2 linked regions of the Coturnix japonica genome follow. The protein of the gene in region 2 purifies or fractionates together with the protein of the main gene of each other region. This does not show direct contact. Links are inferred from orthologs where the notes say so. Each region holds a gene or a part of one and is shown on either strand. Other genes may lie near its edges. The genes, in order: PLK1 and STXBP4.

What was found.
Region 1: the proteins of STXBP4 (region 2) and PLK1 purify together in Homo sapiens (affinity purification with mass spectrometry; 3 studies listed by BioGRID and IntAct, counting the BioPlex papers as one, with this or other methods). This does not show direct contact. The link is inferred for Coturnix japonica from reciprocal best matches to the Homo sapiens genes STXBP4 and PLK1.

Annotation. Positions count from the first base shown.
Region 1 is NC_029529.1:6,809,574-6,814,064, reverse strand, and holds the start of PLK1 (serine/threonine-protein kinase PLK1), read right to left. Parts: upstream 3,027-4,491; 5' UTR 2,845-3,026; coding exon 2,467-2,844; intron 2,268-2,466; coding exon 2,099-2,267; intron 2,007-2,098; coding exon 1,862-2,006; intron 1,661-1,861; coding exon 1,567-1,660; intron 1,268-1,566; coding exon 1,048-1,267; intron 738-1,047; coding exon 579-737; intron 362-578; coding exon 284-361; intron 1-283. UniProt on the Homo sapiens protein: Serine/threonine-protein kinase that performs several important functions throughout M phase of the cell cycle, including the regulation of centrosome maturation and spindle assembly, the removal of cohesins from chromosome arms, the inactivation of anaphase-promoting complex/cyclosome (APC/C) inhibitors, and the regulation of mitotic exit and cytokinesis.
Region 2 is NC_029533.1:8,101,485-8,105,297, forward strand, and holds part of STXBP4 (syntaxin-binding protein 4), read right to left. Parts: intron 2,907-3,813; coding exon 2,730-2,906; intron 1,156-2,729; coding exon 1,039-1,155; intron 318-1,038; coding exon 268-317; intron 1-267. UniProt on the Homo sapiens protein: Plays a role in the translocation of transport vesicles from the cytoplasm to the plasma membrane. Inhibits the translocation of SLC2A4 from intracellular vesicles to the plasma membrane by STX4A binding and preventing the interaction between STX4A and VAMP2.

The sequences.
Region 1 (4,491 bases), on a different chromosome or scaffold from region 2:
ATTATCTGCTGCATAAGCAACTTCAACTCCTACACTGAGTACACACATTAGCCACTTTGGATCCACAGGGTCCTGCTGCCTGCATCCTTAATGTGGCCAGGGTAGATATTCAGTGGCCATTACTCTGTGTTCACTTAGTGTTTGATGGTGCTCCCGGTGATACTCTTGAATGCAAACACTGATCATGATTTAAGAACTAAATCTACACTGAGCACAGATCAGGACTTCTACCAGCTGCTTTAGGAGCTAGAAAAGGCTGAAGTACTGCCATCATGTTATTTACCTAGACCATACTTATCCGAGTAGTCCACCCATTTGCTAACCCAAAAGATGGGAATACAGGCTGGGTCTTCAGCTTCTTCTGCAAGGAGAAAAGGAGTTTGTTAGAAGACATTTTAAGGCATGCTGTGCAGCACAGCAAGCAAGGCCAAGAGGAAGGTAAGTAGCTTCCACATTGCTTTTCTGCCTTTCAGGTTGAAGCTGAGGTCAGTTGGTCCCTCAGTTCAGCCAAGAGGCATCAATGACAGAAGCAAGTTGTCCAAAAATGTCAGTGCCTGTGGGATTGTCCCCAGACTCACCTTGTCTCACTGCAGTTCTCTCAGAGGGTTTGGCTGAGTTGACTGCAGTCAGCTGCTGTAACATGTCTGCTAAGTGACACTCAATGCTGTCTCCCACCTCCCGCAGCCCAGCTGCATCTTCCTTTTCAGGCAGGTTTTCTAATGCAGGGCTTTCTGGTCCTGGGCCAGAAAAAAAAGAGAAGATTGCAGAAACATGAGCAGCAAGTTTCTAAAAGCACCAATTTACATGCTACCCTAGTTATAAGAAACACATTATGCACCTCATAGCTGAACTGCTCCCTGCTTTGGTTCTGGACAAAGAACAAGGAGAACTCCCAGACACGATATGTTCTAGTTATCATGAGAACTGGGAGAGTAGGTGAGGCAGCACTATATTCCCCACAGATGGGTCTGTGTGTTGCTAGAGGCCAGGCAGGCACTCATCCAGTGCTGCAGTCCTCAGCCCTCACTTCCAGACGCCTCCTCTTACCTTTGTTGAGTGCCGTCAGTGGCTTTCGCCCATTCAGTTCAAGTGTGCTGGGAGCGATTGAAAACCGAGGTGCAACAGTGAGACAGCTGGTGGGCAGGCGGCTGGGGATGTACCCTGATGTGAAGAACTCATCGTTCAGCAACTCATTGATAGTTGGGCGCGTGGCAGGGTCAGATCTCAGCATCTTCTGAATGAGGTTAGCAGCTACAGGGTTGATGTGCTAGGAGGAGACAGGCAGAGTTGTGAGTCAAGCAGAAGGACAAGCACACATTAGTGGCATCTGCTCTGTATAATACAACAGGTTCTGCTCAGAGCACAGCTCTGGGTCAGGCAAGCAGGACATAAGCCTGGGAGACAGAACCATACAGGTTCACTCTGCCACTGATTGATACAGCCCCTTCCCATCTCACTGTGATAATAGCTGCTTCACTATTATGTGAGAGCCCACTGAGTGCCAGAAATGGGATGGTACAAGAACGGCTGCAAGATGAATAGACCCACCCATGAGAAGTACTTTACCTTGGGAATAGTATACTCATTCTTCTTGATTCGGAGGTATGTTTCTTTGAGACAAGAGGTTTCAAAAGGTGGTTTCCCCACCAGCAGAGTATACCTGTGTGTTTGTAGACATGGAAGTGTGTTAGATTTATTCCCCTCCCTCCCCCAGAGCACCAGGGAGGTCAGGTGCCAGCAGCCATGGCAGTGTGCTGGATACAGCACATCCATAGCTGCAGGATACACCAGAACCTCACAGGGGCCAACAGGATGTGGGGCACAGGGACCTCACAGCCCTGCAGGAGACACTTTGACTCACATGATGCAGCCAATGGACCACACATCCACTTCAAAGCTGTGCCCCTTCTTGCCCAGCACCTCTGGGGCGATGTAGTTGGGGGTCCCACACAGGGTCTTCTTGCGCTCACCATCATACTCCACTTTGGTGGCCAAGCCAAAGTCACCTTGGGGAGACACAGAGATGGGAGCAATGAGAGAACCCAGGTGGGGTGGGACAGCCATGGGGGTCCTGCAGGCACCGCACCCCGACACCTACCGATCTTCACCTCCATGTCATCGCTAAGGAAGAGGTTTCCCAGCTTGAGGTCTCGGTGGATGACGCGCTGGCTGTGCAGGTACTGGCAGCCCAGGATGGTTTGCCGCAGGTAATAACGCACCTCGGGCTCGCTCAGCGCCTTCCGCCGCTTGTGCAGCTCCAGCAGTGACTGCGGGGATAAGAACACACGGGGATAAGAGCACATAGGGATAAGAACACACGGGGATAAGAGCACATAGGGATAAGAACACTCGGGGATAAGAGCACATAGGGATGGGGGTGTTGGTCACGGTGATGGGGTGTTGGTCGGGGTGTTGGTCACCCAGCTCCCATCCCGCTCAGCCCCCACCCGCACCCCCCGCCCTCACCCTGCGGCGGCACAGCTCCAGCACCACGTAGACGAAATCGCTGTCCTCGAAGAACCCCTGGAAGCCCACGACGTGCTGGTGCGCCAGGCTGCGGTGGATGGCGATCTCCATCGACATTTTCTCCTTCTGGTGCGGTTTGGCCAGCAGCGATTTGGGCACCACTTTCCCAGCGAACACCTCCCTGCTCTCGTTCTCGGTCAGTTCGTAGCACCGAGCGAAGCCGCCCTTGCCCAGGAACCGGCCCCGCACGTAACTGCGCCTGGTCCGCGGGTCCAGCAGAACCTTCGGAACCTCTTTACCCGCAGCCGCCGTCGCTCCACCCGATCGGGCCGGTTCCACCGCAGCCACCGGTCGGGCTTTGCCGCCCGCCGCGTTCATGGTGCCGCTGTCCGAGCTGAGAACTGCAGTCAAAGCCGAATGAGGCGGAACCGAACCGGATCCGAACCCCGAAGCGGAGCCGTGCGGGACGCGCTGTGTCGCTGTGTCTCTATGTGCGGCGCTCAGACCGATTCAAACGCGGCCCCCGAGCGTTACGCGCCCGCGGCGGCTCCTCATTGGTCCGGAGGATTTAAAATCCACGCCGCCCGCCGCGGAGCAACATGGGAGCGGAGCGACACAGCCCGGCTTAAAGAGACAGGAACCGGCGGGGACGGAGCACAGCGCCACCCAGCGGGCGGGAGGAGCGAGCGGCGCGGCGGGTATGGGCAAACGCAGTGGGGTATATGGCAACCAGTGGGTTATTGGCACTGCAGTGGGTTATTGGCATTGCAGTGGGTTATTGGGCACCCAGTGGTTATGGGCATTGCAGTGGGTTGATTGGCACCCAGTGGGTTATTGGCAATTGCATGGGTTATTGGCACCAGTGGGTTATTGCACTGCAGTGGGTTTATTGCATTGCAGTGGGTTATTGGCACCCAGCTGGGTTATGGCCATTTGCAGTGGGTTATATGGCACCGAGTGGGTTATTGGCACCGCATGGTTATTGGGCACTGCAGTTGGGTTATTGACATTCGCAGTGGGTTTATTGGCATTGCAGTGGTTTATTGGCATTGCAGTGGGTTAATTGTGGCATTGCAGTGGTTATTGGCATTGCAGTGGGTTGTTGGCATTGCAGTGGGTTATTGGCACCGCAGTGGGTTATTGGCATTGCAGTGGGTTATTGGCACCGCAGTGGGTTATTGGCACTGCAGTGGGTTATTGGCATTGCAGTGGGTTATTGGCACCCAGTGGGTTATTGGCATTGCAGTGGGTTATTGGCATTGCAGTGGGTTATCGGCACCGCAGTGGGTTATTGGCACGGCTGGGGCAGGAACTGGCAGCGGGGTGATTCCTACACGGGAGAACTAATGGACACTGCCAGCCCTCCGGGGCGACAGGAGAGCGAGCTGAAGGGGAGCTATAAGAAAGGTGGGTCTGTGCGTCAGGACAAGGGGAAACGGTTTTAAAAGGGATGTAAACTTCAATTGGATGTAAAGAAGCTGTTTGCAGAGAGGGGGGTGAGGAATGGCACAGGGTGCACGGAAAGGTGGTGGTGCCTGCAGACACCCATGGTCAGGCTGGATGGGGCTCTGAGCACTGATGAAGCTGTGGGTGTCCCCGCTCAGTGCGGGGCTGAAGCTGCTGCAGGGATCACGCAATGGGATTTATCCATCTCCTCCCTCTCCCTGTGGGCTGTGAGCAGCTTTTCACACTGCCACACTTCACTATGTGCAGGGAATTCATGCTCGATGTGTTTTTCCACACAGCCTGTTGTGATGCTTCCACGTGACAACGTTTGGCTTATAAAATACATTTCCACACTGACCCAAGAATGTGACACTTCTTTATTGTGCAGAATCCACCCATTTTTGTTGGCATATTCTTCAGTTTCTTCCCCCCTCTGCCACCAAGGTGCCATATCACCAGGTGGATGTGATTGTACCCAGCCTCCTTGATGATTCTTTTCCCTCACCAGCCATAACGTGGAACACGAGCTGGTAAAGAGAACGTCAGCAACAAACCGCATGCACTAAGGCTGGAGAGTTC
Region 2 (3,813 bases):
AATGCTGTAAAGCTTGAGTGTCGTTCTATGAACAAAAGTGATTAATATCATCCTGCATATGTTTGTCTCAGAATTTGTTCTGTCTGTACAACAAAGGCTTTTAGGAAAGTTCAAATAAAACATGATATTTAAATTCCCATCCCCACATTGAGTATAATGGCATTCAGAAACATACAACAGAAAACTATAGGAAAAAATGCATACAAGGCAACTTCTAGGGACAAAAGTTTTCAACATTCATGTGAATAACAGCTCAGATCTGCTTACCTTAGAACAGCTGAGGAAGGAGAGTTTTCCGAGAGCATTTCGTGCACAACCTGTTGGCCACAGTGAGAAGTTAACACCTCATAAATCAGCACCGTCAGGAAGGTCATAGCTTTGGCACATGGGCTCTGATCTGTACTTTAAAGAATCTACAGTCTTCCAGTGAGATGAAGAGAAGTAACAGCTACAAAATCTATCATCAGAAGTTACAAAATGATATGGAATGAGTTCCTAGAGAACATATTTACAAAGCCAATTTCATGGCTATTCTCATTTTCCCAGTACTTCATACCTAGTGAATTATTCACAGCTGCCTTTTATTCTTGCAAATATTGATTTCATTAGTATTTCCAGAACAGTCTACGAAGGGTCACGTTAATGTACATAACACGTTAATTCATGGCAATGCGGCCACATTGACAAATTGTTCAACAAACACTTTAACCTTCAAAAAGATAAATGGACTGGTCACATTAAAAATAATTATTAATTATATTAAAATAATGACTGGAATTCATGACTGCAACCATCTTCTCCTACACGATGACAGGATGCGCCGCTGCATGTTGGAGCAGGCTGCCATGGAAGCTGTGGAGTCCCCATTTGTGAAGATACTAAGAACCCAAGTGGGCAATGCCAGTGCTGTGGGGAGAGGGAGGACTGATGACCTCTAGGGAAGGGCTTCTGCAAACTACATGTTCCATTCAGTTTTACTCCTCAGCAACATCAACATAAACAGCTTTTCCAAACAGAACAGTGCAGAGTCACAGTTACCTCCACGAACTGTAGCAGTTTTTCAGTAGCCACCTCAAAGCTCTTCCTTGCCGACTCCGATTTCCGCAGCTGACAGTCCAGAACAGTCACCCTCTTTCTCAAATCTTGGATGTTATCCTGGAAAAGATGTTTGGTACAATCTGGTTTAAGGCTTTTATTTTCATCGTTTCTTCAATGGCTCACAAAGGTAAAAGGCATGTATTAAAATGGACGTCTGAAATGTTTTACACCTTATGTTTCCTACCCATACCTGCTCAGGTAGGTGTGCCTGAGCTGCTAGTAAATGAGCTCCTGGATATCACATCCAGGTAAATTCAGACTGGCAGCTGATAGCAGTGATGGCCTCAAACTTAGGATGGTCTGTTCTGATTCATGACCGGATGAACAAAGCTGAAGTGACGCTGGCAGCGCCTATCAGCAGGGTGCCATAAATAGCCAGTGTGTGAGGAGATGTGGTCCTCCGGTTTGCGTCTGTACATCCTTTGGCCAGCAGAGTAATTATGGCACATCATGGAGAAAATTACCCCCCAGGATTTCTCTACGTGCGTTTGTATAAGCTATTGATCTGAGTTACGCATCCTTCCTCCAGCTGCAGACAGTGTGAGCCCAGCTCTGCCGAGTCTCGCTCATTAGCTCAGGGTTTTCTCCTGAGTCCTTGGAACTGCCAACATGACAACACCATGAGAAAAGCTTTCAAATGTAATGCCTCCTGTTTACATACATGGAAACAGTAACAAAGAGCACTGTGATATTGTTTCATAGAGCAAATTCTCAGCTCAGAAACATCGTTTCTCACCGCCTTAAGCTGTGCAGGCAGGTATTTCACCCAGATGTTTGGAGAGGCTGCGACCATCACACACAGCACCAGATGAGGGGGATTTCTCCCTAGGAGTTACACACATTTCCTATGTTGCTCCTCCATAAACTCGTACACCACAGGGGTCAGTTTCATCTTATTAAAACCTTTCAGTATTGCATTAATTCTCACCGTGAGAAACGGCAGCATTTCATTAAGCCTCTTTCACCATTAATTCTTGTGCACATCTATTTTGCACGAGAAAAAGAAGGCAAACACACACACACCTCAACCTGTTTGCACTTGTTTGAACCACGTGTAAAAGATTAAAAAGTGCCTCCAATATTTTTATTCCCCAGCAGACTTTGAAACAATTCACTGGAAACAAAGTGTTTTAAAATATGAGGCTCAATTAAAAAATTATAGGAAATATCACTGGCAGACTTCTGTTGACATCATTTGCATTGCTATCTTGATTAAATCCACATGTACTTAAGAGCAGTACTGGATTTTATAGCCTTTTTAATCTAACAGAAGTATAAAAAATATTCAGGTCACTTTATGTATGTACAAAGGCACACAGATGTGTGCATCATCCTCCCAGCTGCTGGCTACAGAGCAGAAACCATCCCTGCTCTAACGCTTGAGATGTGTCATGGTGACCTATGGCCCACATGTGCTTCCAGCTCCTGTTTTTGCAGCCCAAAGATATCTGGATAAAGGAAGACTCATGCACTTCACATTATCCCCTTCACTACACATCATTCCAGTTATTGAATAATACAAGACAAACAGTGACCTACTTTAGAAAAGCAGATGAACAGAAAATGAAAACAAGATACATGACAACAGCAAGGAAACCATGGTAACTATGACAGGAGACTGCTTTGCTTACTTTATTTTGGCCACAGTGATCAGAGAGCTGAGCCTTCAGCTCCACTATTTCAGCTTCTAATAGGCGAATCACTTCTTCATAGTCCATCTCCATCCCGCGCGCCTGTCTCTGTGCAGCTTCTGCAAGATGAATCCTGCTTCGCAGGGCTCTGGTCTCCTCTACAGCTGCCTTGGCTTCCTGTAGATGACACAACTCAATTGAAAAGTTGCAACTCCTGCTAAAAAACAAACTCTTTGTGATTAAGTGCAAATTTAGCTTAAAAGCATGGTGGCTTGTGTCAGGGCTACCTGTGAGGGTTCCCAGTCAGTGGATCCATTCCTGATTTTTACATCACGTTTTTATAGAGAGACGATACTCCCAATAAATTACATCACTAATTCCACGATTACTTCAAATCCAATGGATTGAGAGGCCTTATAGACATGCATCCAAAGCTGTTAACTGTTCCCATCTCTTCTGCAGGAGGTGAAGTCCTTCCAATGATGTTGCTACACACTTTGCTGTTACTGCTCTACAAATAAGTGCTGTTCTTAATTTTCCTGCCCAGTTCCAGACAGAGGTTTTATATAAAGACCTTCCCATTAAAACTGATAAAAGATACATTTAAATAGCCTTTAGTTTGACATCAAGTATATGCATTTTTCTTTTAGAAGCACAGGCAGCATTAGGCGAGGCTGATGCATTCTACATGACTGTCATCTGCACCTGGGAACACAGGCGACCCGAAAGCTGGGTCTCTGTTGGGCAGCAGCTCCTGCTGCCAGCTGTCAGCACAGCACCAGGAGGCGTGCAGTGCAAACAGGCAGACAGACCGACTGCTGCTCACAGGCACAGCGCAGCCAACGCGTCCCCCCCGCACGTGGCTCAAAGCAATTCCCCTTCCTTGAAATAAGTTGGGGGATTTCTTATTAGTTCGAATCCGTACCTGCAGAGATCAAACCTACTGCTGCTTCTGCAGGACTTCCCTGCCGCTGTGACTCATCAGCAAGAAAAGGTGGGCCCTGCAGATGACAAATGATGTTTTCACAGTCTTAAGTAGCAAAGGAACCGTCAGTGGGCCCATGGTGAGGGAAAGGCTCTTGGA